Linked DNA regions of Callithrix jacchus. The main gene of each other region encodes a partner of the protein of the gene in region 4 in a complex. Links are inferred from orthologs where the notes say so. Each region holds a gene or a part of one and is shown on either strand. Other genes may lie near its edges.

Region 1 (4,114 bases), on a different chromosome or scaffold from region 4:
AGCAGCCCGTAAGCCCAATAATGGATTTCCCTGGCTACTCTAAGGAACGAACCGATGTATTTTAGAATATTGCACCTCCCCGTCGTTGTAAATTTTGGAATTATTCCTGCCAGCAAACATTCGAGCTCGAAGCCCGCACCGAGTGTGTCTGAAAAGCTCTCCCTAAGTAGGAAAAACCCGCTAGCTTGTCACAAAGCTAACCTATTTTCCCTGCCTGGACCTCGGAAGCCAGGAGGGAACGAGCTGTGGCCCAAGGTGAGAGAAAGTTCCTCGTTCTTTCCCCCGTTAAAGCACACTGTGGGCGCTCCCAGAGCCGATCAGGTGGCTCTTCGCCCCGGCCGTCCGGGCCGGGTGAGCCTGTTTGTTACAAAAGCACCCGAACGGTCCCTGCCGCCCCAAACGGCGTCCGTGCGGGTGGCGCCTCGGAATCTCGCCTCGCGTTCCCGGGCCTGGGGGAGGGGTGGGGGCGCCGGTGCGGGCCGGCGGGGTCGAAGCCACCCGGCCCGGCCCGGCGAAGCCCTCCCAGGCCTGGACAGCTCGTCGGTCCCGGGGGCGCCCCGACCGCGGTGGGAGGCGGCCGCCCGTCAAGATGGCTTTGGGCGCCGCGCCCCCGCCGCCCCCGCCACCCCCGCGGGAAGACGGGGAAAAGTACGCGGCAAAGAAAGAAACTCAGGCTCGCGGCGCGGCGAGGCCGCCGGGCGGAAGCAGGCCCGGCCGGCGCGGGGGTTACCTGGGATCTGCCCATGGTCGGTCCGGGGGTGCCGGGACTCATCGCCGGGTGACTCCTTTGTTGCGCGGCCGCCCAGGCCGGGCTGGCAGCGGCGTACTGGGCGCCCATGTCCTTGCCCAAGCCCATGCCCGCGGCCGCCTGCTGGCCGCCCGCCGCCGCCCCCGCCGCCGCCTGGGACTGGGGCTGCGACGGCGGCGGCGGCGGCGCGCTGGGGCTGCTGTACTCGGGGTAGCTGCCGCCGTAGCTCCGCATCATGGGGCTGGGCGAGGTGAGCAGCTGGTTGAGGGTCGGGGTGGCCCCCGACGGGTGCTGGTTCTGCCCGGCGAAGCGCTGGAAGCCCCCCGCCGCCGAGCCGGCGGCCGCCTTGCTGAGGCTCGCGGCCCCGCCGCCCCCGGGGCCCATCATCATGCCGCCGCCCTGCTGCCGGGGGGAGCTCAGTACCCCGTACCCCGCGGACGAGCCCCCATAGCCGCCGCCGCCGCCGCCTCCTGCTGCTGCTGCCGCCGCCGCGGCCGCCGCCGCCACAGCTCCCGCTCCTGCTCCTCCTGCTCCTGCTCCTGCTCCTCCTCCTCCTCCTCCTCCTCCGCTGCCTCCTCCTCCTCCGCCGCCGCCGCCGCCGCCGCCCGCGCCGGGCCGGCTGTAGCCCGGATAATGGTTGCACTGGCTGTTGGGGTACCCTTCGTGGGAGTTCTGCAGGGGGTCCATGCTGCCGGGGGCCCCGGCGGCGGCGGAGGCGGAGTGCATCATCCCCATCCCGGGGCTTTGTTGTCCGCCATGTTGATCAAAGCAAGGCCCAGCGCGGCCGCCGGGGCCGCCGCTCGCAGGGGCAGCGCTGCCATAGTAATTATTAAACTCCGGGACGGCCGCCGGGCCGCCGCCGCCCCCGGGCACGGCGACCGGCGGCTGCTGCGCGCCCAGGGCGCCCACGCCCGGGTGCTCGTAGCGGCCGCCCGCCGGCTCCCCCATCTTGGGCGGCGCGTCGTCCTCGTCGCCCGGCTTGCTCAGCAGCGGCGGGCCCGGGGGGTCGGCCTGGCCGCCCGCGGCACTGTCCTTGGCGCCTCCATGTTGCGGCTGCTCCATGTCGGGGCCGGGCTGAGGCGCGCCGCCGCCCGCGCCGCCCAGGCTGTTGTTGTTGGAAATGGGATGTTGCTGCTGCTGCTGCTGCTGTTGCTGCTGCTGCTGCTGCTGGAACTGGTTTAGCTGCTGCTGTAGTGCGTGGTGGTGGTGGAGGTGGTGGGCATGGTGGTGATGGTGGTGGGCATGGTGGTGGTGGTGGTGCTGCTGGTGGGGCGGCGCGGCGGGGGCTTCGCCAACGGTTTTCAGTTTGTGGTTGGGGAGCAGCCCCGTCTCCATGGCCGAGCCCGGGCCCGACGAGGAGGAAGAGGACGCCGCCGCCGCCGCGGAGGAGGAGGAGGACAGCGCGGCGGCGCTTCCACCCTCCTTGAGAGCCGCCTCGGAGCCGCCGCTCTTGGCGCTGTGGGTGCCGGCGGCGGCGGCCGCGGTGCCCGCATTATGGGCCATGTTGAGTTCGTGACGGGGGAGCAGGGGGTGGTGGTGCACACTGTTCAGGCCGCCGCCGCTGTCGCCGCCGCCCCCCGGCATGGGTCCCGGTGCCGCCGCCGCCGCCGCGCCGCGCGCCCCCGCCTCCAGGTCCCGGGCCCCGGGCGCCGGCCGCGGCCCGGGGGGCGCCCGCCGCTCGCCGCTGCCTGCCCGCGCCCGCGCCCGCGCCGCCGCCGCCGCCGCCGCCGCTGCTGCCCGCGCGGCCATGATCGCCGCGGCGTGGCGAGGCCGGGCGGGGGGTGGGGGGAGACAATAACCCCCACTTTTCAGGCCGCGGCCCCTCCTGTGCGCATCCACGCGGCCCGCCGGGAAGCCGCGACCCCCTCCCCCTCCTCAGGCCCCGCCGGAGCGCCGGGCCGGGCACGCCTTACGCTCTGGGCCTGCTCCTGCTGTGTGCTTTCATGGTGAAAGTTTTTAGTTCAGGTTTAAATGAAACTTTTCTCTTTTCCTCTCTAACCCGGATATGGGTAAATACACGACTGGCTGAGCCTATCGGGCCCAGCATGGCATGAGAAGAAGCGGGCGAGCTCCAGCAACTATTATCCACTTCGCTCGCATTACTCCCGCGCACTCGCAAAACGCGGACTGGACTCGTCCCCGGGCTGCAGTCGCCGCCGCCCGCCCGCCCCGGCTCAGCCTCGCGGGGCCCAGCCGGGCTGGGACTAAGGCTGGGGCCAGGGCCGGGGCGGCTCGGCGGCGGTCCGGAGCGCGGCGGCGTGGGGCGGCCGGAACCTGCACTTTCCCCCCGGGCCGCTGTCTCCTTGCCAACCGGGCGTTCGCGTGTTTGTTTTCACGTCTAAAAGGAACGATACAAAGGTGGAAAACGAGTCTGACGAGCAGACAAAAGAGGGAGAAGGGCCGGAGAACAAAGTTGTCTGTTGGCCTCAGAGGTTACAAGGAGCCGACGGAGAAAGAAAATATTTAGGCAATCTGTGCAAAAGCACGGTCTCTCCCAGGAGTTATGTAATTCTCAGAACGTTTGCCTCTGCCTTGATTTCGGGCCATCGGCGTAATTCCCACAACTTCTTCCAACTGCAGAATTAGTAAAGATTTGAAATGAAAGTTAGCCCCGGTCAGAGAGCCCTGTGCTTTGTACACAGCAGGTACTTAATAAATGTTTATCACTCGTTCCAAAGAGAATGTTTACATAACTCTTTCTGAAGACACCTTAAACACGTATTAGGCTTGTCAAGGAAAACTCCAAGTATTCCCAAAGGAGCATTTTTCTTATTATGTGCACTTAGATGTCCTCTCTCGAGTATGTACAGAGGTGTTTTCTGCTCCAACTTCCACAGGAAAATTTAACTCTTGGTGCCAGAACAGCGACAGCTATGGGTTAGCTTGTATCTTCATAAATCTGCATGACACCTTTCATCCTATTTCAGAGCTGCATGTACACAGTTAACCCTCTTGATATACATTCAAAGAAATGTGAAACAAAACAAAAATATTATAAACATTATATTGAATAAATGTAACCAATAATAATGTAAAACAGTCTAATCCTAAAGTAGAAACGTTCCATACTTTGTTCTCTTAAAAACTGGTGTCTATCATTTTACAATGTTTTAAACGTTTGCATTGTTACTAGTGTTTTAAATATTTGCATTGTTATTAATCATTTAGTAACATTTTGAAAAGCAAGACTTCTTAATCTTAGGCAATGGCCCACTTGTACCAGTGCGGACTCAGTTTTCACGGAGAGAAAGCATTTAAAAGCTGGCAGAAACAATATTTAAGGTTTTGTTAGGGCATAGTTTTCCAAAATTATTTCATTCTTCAGCTTTCCATAAAAACTATTTTGATTCATTTCCACTGCAGTGG
Region 2 (4,300 bases), on a different chromosome or scaffold from region 4:
AATGCTGGGATTATAGGCATCAGCCGCTGTGCCTGGCATACAGAATATTTTAGTACTTTAAAAGCTATCATGACAGAACAGTTCAAACTGGGTGAGACTTATTGGGAAAGAATTGCTTTTCTGGCAGTAATTGAAAAATTAAAAATAGTATCTTGTCCGGGCACAGTGGCTCATGCCTGTAACCCTAGCACCTTGGGAGGCTGAGGTGGGCAGATCACCTGAGGTCAGGAGTTGGAGATGAGCCAGGCCAACATGGTGAAACTCCATTTCTACCAAAAATACAAAAATAAGCTGGGCATGGTGGCATATGCCTATAATCCCAGCTACTGTGGAGACTGAGGCAGGAGAATCGCTTGAACCTACAATGGGCCGAGATCATGCCACTGCACTCCAGCCTGGGTGACAGAGTGAGACTCAGTCTCAAAACAAGCAAACAAACAACCCCAAAAACCAAAATAGTATCTTTACCCGTTGTGTTTTGAATTATTACTTAATCATTGTCAGCTATAATTTTCCCCACAAATTCTCTGAAGACAGTTTTCTTCCAAATAGTACTGTGTATCTGAGCAGTGCTTTACCAAATATTTTTGCTTGTATATTATTTCAAAGAATTGTAAAATAGGCAGAGTAGGAATTATTACCCAGCATTACCTTTTCCTTTGTTTTCAAATGTAAAACTTGAGACGTAGGAACTTAAAGTAGTCCCTCCTGGTTACAGGGTTAATTAGTGACAGAGCCAGGGCTAGGATCCTACAGTTGTTAGTAATTGGAATAACTCTTCAGTTTTGTATTTTGTTATGCAAGCATGCATTTGTAACATTTCCAAGCGATTCAAGAATATTAATTTCTACTCTTGTATAAACCAAGGATAATATTATTCATGTTGTAGGATTGTTGTAAGGAAGGATTAGGGATTCAACACAGTGACTGCAGCTGAGTAAGTACTTTGCAAATGGTGCTGCCATTATTATACTTTTCCCAGAATTATAGGATTATGTGATTATTTTGATTAAAAAAAATTAGAATAAAATATAAATATACCATTTTAATACTTTCTTTTGTAAAACAAGTTAAAAACCATTATCTATCTACTGTGATTGCAGGTTTTTTAATTCCCCAAATGAACTAACCATATTGGAGTAATTAGTTCTTTGCTTCACTTAACCATGCAGAGATACTTTGAACTTAAAGGACTGTGTTCAAACTCACATACAATGCAGCTTTAGCATTCATGTTTCAATTTTTTCAATTTTTCATTTTTATTTATTTTTACCTTTTATAGAGATGGAGTCTTGCTATATTGCCCAGGCTGGCCTTGAACTCCTGGGCTCAAGCGATCCTCCTGCATTGGCCTCCCAAAGTGCTGGGATTACAGGCATGAGGCACTGTGCCTGGTCGTGTTTTGCTTTTTTAAATTGTGTTAGTATCATTACCTTGGTAAATTCATATCCCAATTTAAATGCCTCAGAGTGAATAAAACTTCGTTATAAATTCAAGAACTGTATTTTTAAATGTACATGTTATATACCCCATAGATACATACTGAAATCACTACAAGCAGTTACATTCATGACACCCAGTACTAAGTTTTTTTTAACACTGAAATACATGATGCTAGATATATTGCTTTATTATGATCACTGCTGCTTCGTACAGTAACTTTAGTACAATAGCTTATATGATTGCATTTTTAAAGCTTTAATAAAGCTAGTAGCATTTAGCAATATTGAATGAAACATTTTTTCATGTATAGGATGTATTTTAGGTCAAATGCTTATGCAAGAATAAGCACTTAACATGCTGTTATATCCTTGACAAAACAAAATCATCCCTTTTCATTAAATAGAATAAGCCAGACTAAAAGGAATCTGAAGTAATTGAAAGAAAATTAAAAATTTTTATCCCTGTATTATGTTAAATATTAAAATAATATAATATTTTCCTGGTTAAATCATATATTTTTTCTGGTTGAAATACATATATATATGTACATATATGTATATATGTACAGAGAGAGAGAGAGATTTTAAAGGCTGCAAAGGCTGTACTAAAATGCAAACATAGCTGGAGCCCTTAGATGATACTTTAGCTGGGAAAAAGTATGGTGAGTTGTACTCAACTACTTTTTCTGCTTAGAAAAAAATTAAGAGCTTATACATTTCTAATGTCTTAAAACAGGTATTTATTATTTAAGATCTTAAATATACCTGTATTAAATTAGGTTATTTTAAAAACTTTGCAACAATACCTCACTTATTCACAAATATATTTTCTACCCATATTTATTACAATTTGAACAATTTAAAAACAAATCCTGCAAACACTCTTAGCTTAGATAACAATTACTGTTATCTTAGTTCACATGAATGATTGCAAGAAATATTTATAATACTTTATATAGTATCTTATCTAAGGCTGATAGCAAACACTCTAATCACATTTGGCTGTACAGGTGGAAAAACCGGGATGGCGGGTAACTGTTCTGATAATGATAGTAACTACCTTTTCAATTTGCTTTTCATATTTTGTTTGTACAGTTGGCCTTCTGATTTTTGTCTTTTTTTGGTGGGGGATACAACCTTTAAAGTTCTTTGAGTAAAGTAAATCTTCTGGAAATCAGATACTTATTTAAAAAACATTTAGATATGTATAGATTAACTTAATTTTACTTATCCAGTTAGCCTTGGGGTGTGTTCAATAGTTTGCTCAGAATTTCTCATGGAAAATAACTCTTATTTTTCTGAGTATATAAATGATTTTCTAAAAAGGAAGAATTCTCGTTAAGTGAATAGTGAGTCCCCCTTAAAAAACTTGTTTATAATTGCTGTTTTTGAAAAATAGAACAAACATTGTAGGTTTAACTAGTCATGGAATAATGATGAATAACTCAGTGTGACTCTTAACATAATACAATCTTACTCAAACAATTCTTTTTTCCTTAGAGTGTTCAGCCGTTGAAAAAAATTACAAAGACTTTACTAAACCAGGTTAATGCTTACAGTCTCTGATGAAGTTTCAAGGGAAAAAGAAGACTATTTGGAAAATAAGAAATAGACTGTACTGAATTTGTGATTTTATTTTTAAGCTACCCCCTCATTTATATATATATATATATGTATATCTCCATAATTAGATTCAGAGAAATGTCCTTAACTGTTTTTTTTCTTCTGAAGAGAACCACATATTGATCATAACCTTTTCCATACATACTTAATAACTTACATTTTGGGACAAAGGGAGTCGGTGTGGCCCACCTTGGACCATCCTAACATTTTCAAATCAAGTCAAATACTATCTTTGGATTAATCAGCTGTCGATGGAGGTTTGATAGAGGGAATACTGCATGATCGTCTCATGATAAGCCTGACTTCTATATCTGGTAGATTATCCTGCTTAGTCTGTAAACACCCTTCATCGGTGGCTGCTAAATGAAGATCAAATCGAAGAGAAACAGATTTTTTCCTCAATCGAGGGTTATCTTTAAAGAAAGAACCTTCCCATTCTTTAATAACTTCATCCACTTTCTCTGTCCTGAAATGATAAAATAAACCTTTTAATATAAAGAAGTATGGGTCTATTAAAAATATATAATATGTATTTCATATCTATGAAAAAATCAAGAAATTTGTATAATTTATAGTTTGTAGAATTTTTTTTTTTGAGACGGAGTTTCGCTCTTGTTACCCAGGCTGGAGTGCAATGGCGTGGTCTTGGCTCACCTCAACCTCCGCCTCCTGGGTTCGGGCAATTCTCCTGCCTCAGCCTCCTGAGTAGCTGGGACTACAGGCGCGCACCACTATGCCCGGCTAATTTTTGTATTTTTATTAGAGACGGGGTTTCACCATGTTGACCAGGATGGTCTTGATCTCTTGACCTCATGATCCACCCGCCTCGGCCTCCCAAAGTGCTGGGATTACAGGCGTGAGCCACCGCGCACGGCAGTTTGTAGAATTTATAATATACTTACTTTGAAGTTCATATGAATAGAATTTCCAAGGAATTGTATGGAATTTCTCTGTAGGAATTCTCATGTTCAGGTTGTATTTTTAGAAAAAAATGGCGAATTAAGGATTAAGTAATCTTCCATGAGTTTTTATGTATATATGTCAGATTAAAAATCACAGTAAAAGCTGGGCATGGTGACTCACACCTGTAATTCCAGCACTTTGGGAGGCTGAGGTGGGTGGATCACAAGGTGAGGAGATTGAGATCAGGCTGGCCAACATGGTGAAAGCCCATCTCTACTAAAAATGCAAGAAAAAAAAAGAAAGAGAAAAAATTACTGGGCAGGGTGGCACAT
Region 3 (4,155 bases), on a different chromosome or scaffold from region 4:
TGATGGCCCAGGCTAGAGGGCTGTGGCACTAACAGCTCACTGAGGCATCCACCTCCTGGGCTCAAGTGGTCCTCCCGTCTCAAACCCCCAAGTAGCTGGGACTACAGGCAGGTGCCACCACACCCGGCTAATTTTTGTATTTTTGTAAAAACAGGCGTGAGCCACCGTCCCTGGCCCACCAGCAGCGTTTCTACCCATAGACCCAGGCTGACACTTGGAGCGGGCTCTCCTTTCTTTCCTTTCTGCCTAATCACCTGCACACACCCCTCCCACACTCCTGCACACTTCCTCCGAGTCCTCTCCCTGGCCCAAACAATCCTCCTGCTCCCATCCCCCAGTGCCCTGTGTGGAGCTGACCCACAGTAGAAATCAATTTCATAAATCAATATTGATACTACTCCTACTAATCACTACATTTGGTCAGGGTCAGAGCTCTGTGCTAAGCGCTTTACAAAGACGGCCTTATTTAAGCCCCGAGACAGCCGTATGGGGTGGTAAGGGCTGTTAGAAGACCCCATACTCCAGGTGCGTGGCTCACGCCTGTAATCCCAAAACTTTAGTAAGCTGAGGCGACAGATCATGAGGTCAAGAGATCAAGACCGTCCTGACCAACATGGTGAAACCCCGTCTCTACTAAATATACAAAAATTAGCTGGCGCCTGTAGTCCCAGCTACTGGGAAGGCTGAGGTAGGAGAATCGCTTGAATCCAGGAGGTGGAGGATGCGGTGAGCCAAGATCACACCACTGCACTCCAGTCTGGGCAACAAGAGTGAAACTCAGTCTCAAAAAAACAAACAAAAAAAAAGCCCCATACACAGATGGCAAAACTGAGGCTCGCGGCAGGGGACGTTCATGGCTCAAGCTGGTTTTAGAACTCAGGCAGTGGAACTTCCCAGGGCGGCACCCTCCAGCTCCTTCTCCCCAAGGGATGTGATTCACATTCTTTCAGGAGTCAGGGAGTTCCCCACCTTCACCCCAGCAGATACGTTTTGGAAGGGGAGGGCACAGGGGGCAGGGCCCTCTCAGTCCAGGCTTTCTCCCCAGGTCCCTGCTCTCCAATGCAGCACACCTCCTGGGGGGGGGGGGGGAGTGTCTGGGCCAGGGTCAGAGTGCGGGGTAGATCCACCAACCTGCACAGGAGCTCTCGCTCCCGGCACCCTGCTCACAACCATTGTGCAGTGTCCCTCACATGAGAGACAACTGTGTGTGCCACTCAGGGTGAGAGGGCAGCGGAGGGGTGTCAGCATCATGCACCACCTCTCACGGACCCGAGTCCCACACACTCGCTCCCGGCACCCTGCTAACGGCGGAGCCACACGTGTAGGCGCGTGCCTCTAAGTCCCTGCCCCCCTTCCTCTCCCAACTCCCACCCTCCACCTCCCACCCCCATTCCCGCCAGAAACCAGAAGCAACTGGCGGCCTCTGGTCCAGCCGGCAGGCGCAGCCCTTCTTGTGGGTGGGGTGGGGGGTGCGCTCCCTCTCTCCCTGTCCCCACTCGCCCCGCCCCCAGCCCTCGATGTTCAAGGTCAAGGCAGCCAGCGAGCGGGGTTGGGGGAAGGGTGGGGAGGTCGCCCCGGCCCCTTTGTGCGGCGCCGCCGCGGGCGCTCGCCCTCCGCCTCCTCCACCAGGCCCAGGAGGAGGGGGAGGGGAGCGCTGCGCTCGCCTGCGGGGAGGGAGGGCGGGAGCAGCCAAGCGCCTGTCACTGGGAGACCGCTGTCACCGCCTAGGAACTAGGGGTGGGGGTGGGGAGCTCTGGGACCCAGGAGTCCGGGATCCCGAAGAGGAAGCAAGCCCGAGATGGAGAGGGGGAAGGGGAGGGGTGGAGAGCGCGAGGGATGGCAGGGAGAGGGGAGGGTCAGGAGGGTCTAGGCTCGGACCCAGGCGTCCCGGTCCCCAGCCACCGGGCCCGGGAGGAATGCGAACGCTCGGAGGGCCGCGGCCAGGAAGAAAGGGAGGGAATCCCCGGAGACCGAGGGCGCTCCCGGCAGGCACCCCCTTCCCGGGCCGGTCCCGGAGGGGACCAGAGATGCTCCGGTTTGATGTGTATGGGCGGGGAGAGGAAGGGATGCCGCGGTCCATGCTGGCCGTGGGTTCGGGGTTCTAGTTCCCGGAGATCCCAGAAGGAAAAAAGGGAGGCAGCGGGGATGGAACCGTGGACCCCCGACGTCTCAGCTCCCACCCTGCGGCCGCGAGGTCCGGGGTCCCCAGAGAAAGAAGGGGAAAGAGAGAAAGGCGCTTTGATGAGGGGAGAGCGGGTGATGGAAACCCTGGGGACCGAGGTCCGGACTCAGGTGTTCGAGCTTCCAGCCCCGGCCGGGGCAGGCCCGGCACCTCCGGAGATCCTGAGGGAGAGATGGAGGAGAGGGAAACCCCTACCCCCACTCTGGGTGGGGAAACGGCCTCCGCCACCCCCAGCCCGCGCCACATTCCTTCACTGACAGCGACAAAGAAGAGGCGCCCCCGCGACCCTGAAGAGGCTCCCGCCTCCAACCCCAGGGGGCGACAGGGGGTGGCCGACCCCCGGGGCAACGGTTTGCGCTGGGGGCCCCCACTCAACTACGGGTCCGCGCGCTGCGTCCCCCTCCTCAGCCACAGGGCGGGCGGGGGAAGGGCTCCTGGTGGGGGGGTCTGGACAGGGGGCGGGGACGGCGGGGACACTCACGACTTGAGCGGGTTCTGAATGGCGGTAGCCATGGCCCGCTCGGCTGGGCCGCCTCCGGCCCGGGGCGCCGCTGCCGCCGCGCGCGGGCCCAGCCCGGCCTGCGCCGCCCGCTCTGCCGCCCAGCGCGCTACGATTTCATTCATTCTTGGGGCTGCGGCGCGAGCGGAGCGGGGCGGGCCGGGGGCGGGGCTCAGCCAATCCCCGCGCCTCCCAGCGCACGACGGGACGTGGAGTCTAGGGGCGCTCGGCGGCGCCCGAGGGCGCCCCTGCCCAGACTACACGTCCCAGGGGGCGTCAGGAGGACCGCGCTCCCATTGGCTGCTGGGGATACAGGGAGGGGCGGGGCTGCCCCCAGAGCATCTTTCCTCTCTCCCTGGGAGTGCTCCGTCCCCAGCTCGGGATCTCCACCCTCGAGGCACCGCGAGCGCGGGAGCAGGTGGTCCCTAGCTTCTGGATGTCCCCAGGGTATGTGGATGACCCTAGGGTTTTTATCGTGTATTTTTGTCTGGGCCTATTTGGGTTTCTCTTCTATATCAGCGAGCCTGTGAACAAGCACAGGGGTTAATCACGCCTTTGTTCGTTTACTGAGTGGCTGCTATGTTCCAGAAACTCTTCTAGGCACTAAGGATACAGCAATGACCAAAACAAAGTTGCTGCTCTCAAGGAGCTGACGTTCTAGTGGAGAAATACAGATAATAAGAAAATAAAGAGATAAAATCATTTCAGACAGTGAGAGATGCTATGAAAAGAAAATTGGGCCGGGCATGGTGGCCCATGCCTGTAATCCCATCACTTTGGGAGGCCGAGGCAGGTGGATCATCTGAACTCTGGAGCTCAAGACCAGTCTGGGCAACATGGCGAAACCTCATCTCTACCAAAAATACCAAAAATTAGGCGGGTGTGGTGGTGCATGCCTGTAGTCCCAGATACTCAGGAGGCTGAGGTGGGAGGGTCACTTGAGCCTGGGAGGCAGAGGTTGCAGTGAGCCAAGATTGTGCCACCGCACTTCAGTCTGGATGACAGAGTGAGACCTTGTCTCAAAAAAGAAGGGAGAGGGAGAGAGAGAGGAAAAAAAAACAAGAGAAGAGAAGAGGCAGGGCACAGTGGCTCACACCTGTAATCTCAGCACTTTGGGAGGCTAAGGCAGGAGGATTGCTTGAGCCCCAGAGCACGAGACCAGCCTGGGCAACATAATGAGACCCCATCTCTACAAAAAGTTTAAAAATTATCTAGGTGTGGTGATGCATGTCTGCAGTCTCAGCTACTCAGGAGACTGAGGCAAAAAGGTCATTTGAGCCTGAAAGTTGGAGGCAGTAGTGAGCTGTGATCACACCACTGTACTCCACCTAGACAACAGAGAGAGACTGTTTCTAAAAATAAAAAAGAAAGAAAGAAAAGAAAAAGAAAGAAGAAAAGAAAATAGATTCAGCAAAACACAGATTTTAGAAAGAAAAAAGAAGCAAGTAAAAAAAAGCAGATTGATTTGAAGGAG
Region 4 (3,500 bases):
ATGTCCAGCCTGTACTGTATCACATCTTTGCACTCTCCTCTCTTTATCCTAGCCCCTCCCTACTTCAATTCAATTTCTTTCGCTCTTGGTACCTAGGTTTCCACATATATACTAATTTGTCTCTGAGTTCACTAACCTATCTTTTGCTATATGCAGCCTGTTATTAAACCCATCAAATAATTTCAAGTATACTTTTCAGTTCTAAAATATTCATGACTCTTTTTTTTTTTGAGACAGAGTCTCACTCTGTTACCAGGCTGGAGTGCAGTGGTGCAAACCTCTGACTCCCTGGTTCAAGCTATTCTCCTGCCTCAGCCTCCCAAGTAGCTGGGATTATAGGCATGTGCACCATGCCCAGTTCCTTTTTGTATTTTTATTAGAGACAGGGTTTCACCGTGTTGGCCAGGATGGTCTCTATCTCCTGAACTCATGATCCGACCACCTCGGCTTCTCAAAGTGCTGCAGTTACAGGCATGAACCACCACCCCCGACCTCATGATTCTTTTCACAGATTCCAATTATCTGTTCAAATTTTCCATTCCCCCCCTCGATTTTCTCTAATAGTGTTTTTTTAAATATCACCAGATTTGAGTAGAAAACTCATTAGATGTATCATAGAAGTACTAAGACGTGCTGGATTATACCCTGCATGAGTTTAGATTAAAAACAAAATCCTTACCTTTGCTAATGTTTTCTTGGAGTAAATGTCAGTACGAAGGCCAAAGTTCTGCAAATCAATTGGTTTTTCCTTGCTTTTCTCAGGAAAATTTAGCATCTGTTGAGCAGCAGGGACCTGAGTCAAATAAATGATAAATGGCTGAGTTAACCTCTTTAAAGTCAAGAGGATAAATGTTTTTCAAAAACTGGGCCATACGCAGTGGTTCATGCCTGTAATCCCAGCACTTTGGGAGGCTGAGACAGGTGGGTCACAAGGTCAGCAGACCGGCATGACCAACATGGTGAAACCCTGTCTCTACTAAAAATACAAAAAATTAGCTGGGCACCGTGGCGCGTGCCTGTAATCCCAGCTACTCAGGAGGCTGAGGCAGGAGAATTGCCTGAACCCAGGAGGCGGAGGTTGCAGTGAGCCGAGATCGCGCCATTGCACTCCAGCCTGGGTAATGAGCGAAACTCCGCCTCAAAAAAAAAAAAAAATTGCTGGGGCTGGACACGGTGGCTCATGCTTGTAATCTCAGCACTTTGGGAGCCTAAGGCAGGTAAATCACGAGGTCAGGAGTTCCAGACCAGCCAGACTAACATGGTAAACCCTGTTTCTACTAAAAATACAAAAATTAGCAGGGAATGCAATCCCAGCTACTCAGGAAGTAGAGGCAGGAGAACTACTTGAACCTGGGAGACAGTAGTTGCAGTTAGCCAAGACTGCGCCACTGCACTCCAGCTTGGGTGAGAGAACAACACCAGCTCAAAAAAAAAAAAACTGTTTAATATTGGCACTTAAACCACTCTTGGTGGATCTCCTACAAAAAAATAAATACCCACACTTCTACACTATACTTCTAACAAAAATTCAACACTTAAGACACATTTTCGCGTCCATTTAAGTCCCAAAAAGGATAAAAAATTTTCATTACTATCTTCTATTTCACCATAGGACAAAATTCTTATACCTTAGGTTCCTGTAAATACAACTTAATGCTAAATACAATTTCCTTGACATAATCTGTTTGATAATGTATATATGAATATAAACTTTATAAATCTTAGGACAAGTTATAAAGATTTCTTTGCCTCACATTTTTAGAACAAAGACTGAAGGAAGAAAAAAAACATTTTGCATCATCTGCTTACTTATGAGTATCTGATGACAGAAGGATAAAGGAAGTTATGTATATAAAAGTAAATTAATAATTTGATAGAGTAAGGCAGTGGGTCTTGGGATTGGTGGGACAGCATTAACTTAAATAGCATATATTATTTTGGACTGTAATATTTACAGTACACCAAAACACACACACACAACCAACCATAAAAGAAATAGCACTATTAATAGCCATTATAATACAATAACAATTATTCCTAAATAGATATGCTGTAAATAGTCAGGTGTTACTATCCAGTTCTGAAGAAAAAGTCGACATTAATTTACCTGAGGTGATCGAAGATGCAGAGGCACAAGCCCAGAGGGTGTATCAGCTAATACATTAAAATGAGGAGTAGGAGGCGGTCCCATTGCCATGGGTCTACTTTCCGGGTCAACTTGGTAATTAACAAGTCCCCACTGCTCTAAAAAGGCATGGACCCTAAAGAAAAAAGCTCGAAAAGTTAAAATCTACAGAATCAACTTCAGGTGCTTTATCATCATCATCATCATCATCATCATCATGATGTTATTAAAAAACAGAAACAATAAAAGAAGTAAATATTCTCAGCAGGCTATGAAACACCACAAACTACCTGACAGATTTTGAGGAAGAATTTCTTAAGTCACAAGTAACGTTGATAACACAGCACCCCCTAAACCTATTACAAAATCTAATCATTTCAACCACAGAAATGAGAGCACAAATACATATTTAGGTCCATTTTAATAAATGAAATCACACACAGACCAAATATACACACCAAAAAAATCCACATTTTGTTTTTTTGTCTTTAGGCAGATCTAGGGCACAGAGCTTATCCACTCTCGACCTGAACCCACTCCATCCCTGCTTATTTTATGATTTGACAAAAAATTAAAAATATGAATTATAAAATCTAAAAAACTGAATTAAATATTTATTTATTCTGAGAGAGTCTCGATCTGTCACCCAGGCTGGATGACACTGCAATCTCTGTCTCCTGGGTTCTCCTGCCTCTTGAGTAGCTGAGATATAGTCATGTGCCACCACACCCAGCTAATTTCTGTACTTTTAATAGAGACGGGGTTTCACTATGTTGGCCAGGCTTGAACTCCTGTCCTCAGGTGATCCACACGCCTCAGATTCTCAAAGTGCTGGGATTACAGGCATGAGCCACCGCACCCAGCCTAAATTAAGTATTTTAAATATTCAACTCCTAATCCTGAATCCAGGGCTCACACCTGCAATCACAGTGCTTCGGGAGGTCAAGGTAGGAGAATCACTTAAGGCCAGGAGATTGAAAACAGCCTTGGCAACACTGTGAAACCCCATCATGATAACATTAAATTAAAATAATAAAATAAAAATAATTTAATTGAATGAAATAAAAAGAAACAAAATATAATCAACCCCTAAATGAGATAACTAAAATTAGGTGTTTTACCCAGTTGAAATATCCAGTTTAATCAAGCAAACATTCGATAGCAATGCATCAGTAAATTCCTACAGTGAAATGTCTCAGAAAAAGTCAAATGCTTTACCTCATTACAGCACATACATCTCCAGTTAAGTTCCTCCGACAAGCAGTGCTGGTTAAGTACTCTTGGGGGTTTAGGCGATACGTGTCAATCATAAAATTTCGATATGCCAAGTATCTAAAAATCAATGGCAAAATTCATAAGGTGGATATGTATTCTT
Region 5 (4,279 bases), on a different chromosome or scaffold from region 4:
ATAAACCTGGCCTTATACCCAACTCAATCGGGGTCTCTTAGAATGTAATGGTAAACTTTAAACTATCTTTACACTACAGGATAGAAAACAAATCTGAGAAGCATGCATTTTCTAAGTGACTTGTTGGACTGTGCCTGTTCTTTAAGGAGAAAATGGTTTCCATTTTGTGCATCTCTCTTCTGATAATTGTTTGAACACTCAGGTTCCTGCAGTCCCTGGAGCCTCTTCTGTGGCTTTTCAGTCTTACAAGGTACTGTCTTTGGAGACTAGGGCTACTGGTCATTGTGGGCTAAGTTATCTTAAGAGAGTGAGAACAGGGTTTGGGTTCTCCTGCTGGATGACTGTTCTGTGCCCCTAAAACAGCTTCAGTGGCCTCCATTTTAAGTCAGAGGTGAGATGATCAGTTTTGACTTCAAATCCATTTTGATATTCTGGTATCATTGTTGAATGTGCTCACAATTTTTTTTAAGGCAAGTAGACCGAAGGCAGCTTTGGTAACTCCACTTCTTTTAAAGTCACCCTCCTCTACCCTCTGACTTTAAGTGACAGGGAGTTCCCTCCCCTCTCTTTCAATTCTGTGAAATGGGGATAATCCGAACCTCAAGCCCCCAGAGCCTTGTGAGGACCGGCGAATGAGGGCAGGCGAGTGGGAAACGAATCATCCAAACAATGATCAGTCATTCCTTTGGGCTTGCAAAAGGGGTAAGAATCAGGGCTCACTCAGCTGGGTCTTTAGCGGGGTCAGTAGAAGGCTTTGAAAAGTGCTGTAGAGGTGCTAAGCAGCAGCCAACGGAACGGGCCGGTTGCCAGGGGGTCAGGGCTGGGCCGAGGCGGTCGCGGTCTCGGGCTCTGGCCAATTTTGCAGCCGCGGGTAAAGTTCACGCTGCCCGCTCCCTTCGGTACGGCCGGCAGGGGACAGATCAGGATAGGGACGCCGGGAGGGAGGCGACGCAGGCTCCAGAGGCGCGGGCTCCGGGCCGGGTTTTCTCCGAAGCCTTCGGCGGCGGCGCTGCCTAGCGAAAGCGGCTGAGGGCCTGCCGCCGCCGCTGCTCGTTCTCTCCCCTCCTCCTTTGTGAGGGGAAGGGAGCGAGTCCGTTCCACGGCCTGCGCCGGCTCCGCTCTCCACTCCGGGTTTGCCAGGCGGCCGCGACGGCGCTGGGTAAAATGGCAGTGCTGAGCCTCGTGTCGGAGTGAGGGGGACTCGGAGGAGAGTGGGGCGCTCTAGCCGCTGAGTCCGGCCGACCGCTTGCTCGCTAGCCCGCTGCCGCGCAGCAGCCTCGGCTCGAGCTGCGGCTGGCGAGGGGAGGCTGGGCGCCCGGCCCGGCGCGCGTTCCGACTCTGGCACTCGGCACCCCGGCTGCTGCCGCGCGCCCTCCAGCCCGCCCGTCCCGGGTCCCCCTCCCCCCGCTCCCTCCCTCCGTCCCTCCCCGCCCCCTCCCCCCTCGCCTCCCTCCCTCCCTCCCTCCTCCTTTCTCCGGCAGCAGAAAGCGGAGAGTCACAGCGGGGCCAGGCCCTGGGGAGCGGAGCCTCCACCGCCCCCCTCATTCCCAGGCAAGGGCTTGGGGGGAATGAGCCAGGAGAGCCGGGTCCCGAGCCTACAGAGCCGGGAGCAGCTGAGCCGCCGGCGCCTCGGCCGCCGCCGCCTCCTCCTCCTCCGCCGCCGCCAGCCCGGAGCCTGAGCCGGCGGGGCGGGGGGGAGAGGAGCGAGCGCAGCGCAGCAGCGGAGCCCCGCGAGGCCCGCCCGGGCGGGTGGGGAGGGCAGCCCGGGGGACTCGGCCCCGGGGCGGGGTGGGAGGGGGGGGGAGAAGACGAAGACAGGGCCGGGTCTCTCCGCGGACGAGACAGCGGGGATCATGGCCGCGCAGGTCGCCCCCGCCGCCGCCAGCAGCCTGGGCAACCCGCCGCCGCCGCCGCCGCCGCCGCCCTCGGAGCTGAAGAAAGCCGACCAGCAGCAGCGGGAGGAGGCGGGGGGCGAGGCGGCGGCGGCGGCAGCGGCCGAGCGCGGGGAAATGAAGGCAGCCGCCGGGCAGGAAAGCGAGGGTCCCGCCGTGGGGCCTCCGCAGCCGCTGGGAAAGGAGCTGCAGGACGGGGCCGAGAGCAATGGGGGTGGCGGCAGCGGCGGAGCCGGCAGCGGCGGCGGGCCCGGCGCGGAGCCGGACCTGAAGAACTCAAACGGGAACGCGGGCCCTAGGCCCGCCCTGAACAATAACCTCACGGAGCCGCCCGGCGGCGGCGGTGGCGGCAGCAGCGATGGGGTGGGGGCGCCTCCTCACTCAGCCGCGGCCGCCTTGCCGCCCCCAGCCTACGGCTTCGGGCAACCCTACGGCCGGAGCCCGTCTGCCGTCGCCGCCGCCGCGGCCGCCGTCTTCCACCAACAACATGGCGGACAACAAAGCCCTGGCCTGGCAGCGCTGCAGAGCGGCGGCGGCGGGGGCCTGGAGCCCTACGCGGGGCCCCAGCAGAACTCGCACGACCACGGCTTCCCCAACCACCAGTACAACTCCTACTACCCCAACCGCAGCGCCTACCCCCCGCCCGCCCCGGCCTACGCGCTGAGCTCCCCGAGAGGTGGCACTCCGGGCTCCGGCGCGGCGGCGGCGGCTGCCGGCTCCAAGCCGCCTCCCTCCTCCAGCGCCTCCGCCTCCTCGTCGTCTTCGTCCTTCGCTCAGCAGCGCTTCGGGGCCATGGGGGGAGGCGGCCCCTCCGCGGCCGGCGGGGGAACCCCTCAGCCCACCGCCACCCCCACCCTCAACCAACTGCTCACGTCGCCCAGCTCTGCCCGGGGCTACCAGGGCTACCCCGGGGCCGACTACGGCGGCGGGCCCCAGGACGGGGGCGCTGGCAAGGGCCCGGCGGACATGGCCTCGCAGTGTTGGGGGGCTGCGGCGGCGGCAGCGGCGGCGGCGGCAGCCGCTTCGGGAGGGGCCCAACAAAGGAGCCACCACGCGCCCATGAGCCCCGGGAGCAGTGGCGGCGGGGGGCAGCCGCTCGCCCGGACCCCTCAGGTACACAGCTGAGTGGGGAGGGGGCTGGGGCGAACGTGGTCCTGGGGGTGGGTGGTGGCTGCGGTGAGCGGGCCACAGCCTTGGGCTCCCCTCAGTCCCGGGCCCCCACTGCTGGGGAGCTGCCATTGTCTGGCTCTTCTTTCTTAAAATGGCTGCCTGTCTGCCTTCCTCTCCTTCCCTCCTTTAGGCTTTGTGTCGGGCTTTCCTAGAAATGTCTGCTCCTCTTTTTCCTTTCCCCTGGTTCCTTTGAACTCCAGGGGTCGTCATGGGGATGCGGGGCAGAGTGTGCGGGGAAGGGCCTGGCCGGGGGTGAGGGGGTGCTGGGGGCTCAGGTAAGAAGTGTAGGCAGTGGTAGGAGCCCAGGAGTTGAGTGAACGTTTTTCTTTGCTCACCTGCCGCTCCTCTCCGTCTCCCGGCCTTCCTCTGGGCCGCCCCCCGCCTCCGTGCTTTCAAGGAGGGCCCCTAGACCTCGGGGGGACCTCGAGGGAGGGCAGGGGACTGCTTGGGAGCTGCTAGAGGCCGGCTGCGGTTCACCTAGGGCAGCCCGGGCCATCTCCTGTCTTAGGCTCCGCCGGCCCAGTGGCCTGGGCTTCTCCCTGGAAGTGCTGGTAAACAGCTGAGTGATTGGAGTAGTAAGTGCAGATTGCTTTGGTTTGGGATTTGAATTATGGAGGTAAAATCCTTCTGTCAAAGCCAGGAGACAGTTGGTCTTAGGTTGACATCCTATCTGTGATCTGATTGGCTCCCCATCTCCTGCTCTTGGCCATTTATAATTGCCTCTGATGTAATGGTACAACAATCCTGATGAGCTCATAAACTTTTACACTCTGCTTTTCTGCCAGTGATAACCCAAACCATTGCTGTCACTATCTGCCTTTTATTCCAGAGTTGAAATTGGCTGTGACCTTGAGGAGGGAGGTTTAAGTAGCAATACTGTATCAGCAGGAGCAGAGTCTCAGACAGCCTGTCCTTGTTACATTGTGCCCGAAACAAAAGAGGAGGCAATGGCATTTTGCATATACCTTGGATTTATTTTGCTTGTTATGTTTTATGCAGCCTGAAATGGATTCTGTGTTGTCAGAACAGTAGCTGAGTTTTTTCTCTACAATGGGTTTGCTGTTTGTTTTGGTTTTGTGACTTTCCTGATGGTATAAATGACTTCTTTGATGGCTCTGAAGATGCATTTGTCTTGAGTAATTTTGACACTGTTTGCTTTGCAGAATTGAAATGATTTTACTGGGTTTTTTATTGAGTGGGAAATGTGGAATCTTTAT

What was found. The genes of interacting proteins can lie anywhere in the genome.
Region 1: SMARCC1 (region 4) and ARID1B share a complex: the UniProt entries of both Homo sapiens proteins name them as parts of the neuron-specific chromatin remodeling complex. The link is inferred for Callithrix jacchus from reciprocal best matches to the Homo sapiens genes SMARCC1 and ARID1B.
Region 2: SMARCC1 (region 4) and SMARCE1 share a complex: the UniProt entries of both Homo sapiens proteins name them as parts of the BAF complex. The link is inferred for Callithrix jacchus from reciprocal best matches to the Homo sapiens genes SMARCC1 and SMARCE1.
Region 3: SMARCC1 (region 4) and DPF1 share a complex: the UniProt entries of both Homo sapiens proteins name them as parts of the neuron-specific chromatin remodeling complex. The link is inferred for Callithrix jacchus from reciprocal best matches to the Homo sapiens genes SMARCC1 and DPF1.
Region 5: SMARCC1 (region 4) and ARID1A share a complex: the UniProt entries of both Homo sapiens proteins name them as parts of the neuron-specific chromatin remodeling complex. The link is inferred for Callithrix jacchus from reciprocal best matches to the Homo sapiens genes SMARCC1 and ARID1A.

What each region holds. Positions count from the first base shown.
Region 1 is NC_133505.1:163,604,924-163,609,037, reverse strand, and holds the start of ARID1B (AT-rich interactive domain-containing protein 1B), read right to left. Parts: upstream 2,801-4,114; 5' UTR 2,498-2,800; coding exon 731-2,497; intron 1-730. UniProt on the Homo sapiens protein: Involved in transcriptional activation and repression of select genes by chromatin remodeling (alteration of DNA-nucleosome topology).
Region 2 is NC_133506.1:92,613,396-92,617,695, reverse strand, and holds the start of SMARCE1 (SWI/SNF-related matrix-associated actin-dependent regulator of chromatin subfamily E member 1), read right to left. Parts: upstream 2,801-4,300; 5' UTR 1-2,800. Other genes in the region: keratin-like protein KRT222, read right to left, coding at 3,303-3,531. UniProt on the Homo sapiens protein: Involved in transcriptional activation and repression of select genes by chromatin remodeling (alteration of DNA-nucleosome topology).
Region 3 is NC_133523.1:33,815,102-33,819,256, forward strand, and holds the start of DPF1 (zinc finger protein neuro-d4), read right to left. Parts: upstream 2,801-4,155; 5' UTR 2,696-2,800; coding exon 2,664-2,695; intron 1-2,663. UniProt on the Homo sapiens protein: May have an important role in developing neurons by participating in regulation of cell survival, possibly as a neurospecific transcription factor. Belongs to the neuron-specific chromatin remodeling complex (nBAF complex).
Region 4 is NC_133516.1:30,366,093-30,369,592, forward strand, and holds part of SMARCC1 (SWI/SNF complex subunit SMARCC1), read right to left. Parts: intron 3,458-3,500; coding exon 3,344-3,457; intron 2,262-3,343; coding exon 2,108-2,261; intron 794-2,107; coding exon 680-793; intron 1-679. UniProt on the Homo sapiens protein: Involved in transcriptional activation and repression of select genes by chromatin remodeling (alteration of DNA-nucleosome topology).
Region 5 is NC_133508.1:63,351,479-63,355,757, forward strand, and holds the start of ARID1A (AT-rich interactive domain-containing protein 1A), read left to right. Parts: upstream 1-1,479; 5' UTR 1,480-1,853; coding exon 1,854-3,005; intron 3,006-3,845; exon of another isoform or gene 3,846-4,279. UniProt on the Homo sapiens protein: Involved in transcriptional activation and repression of select genes by chromatin remodeling (alteration of DNA-nucleosome topology).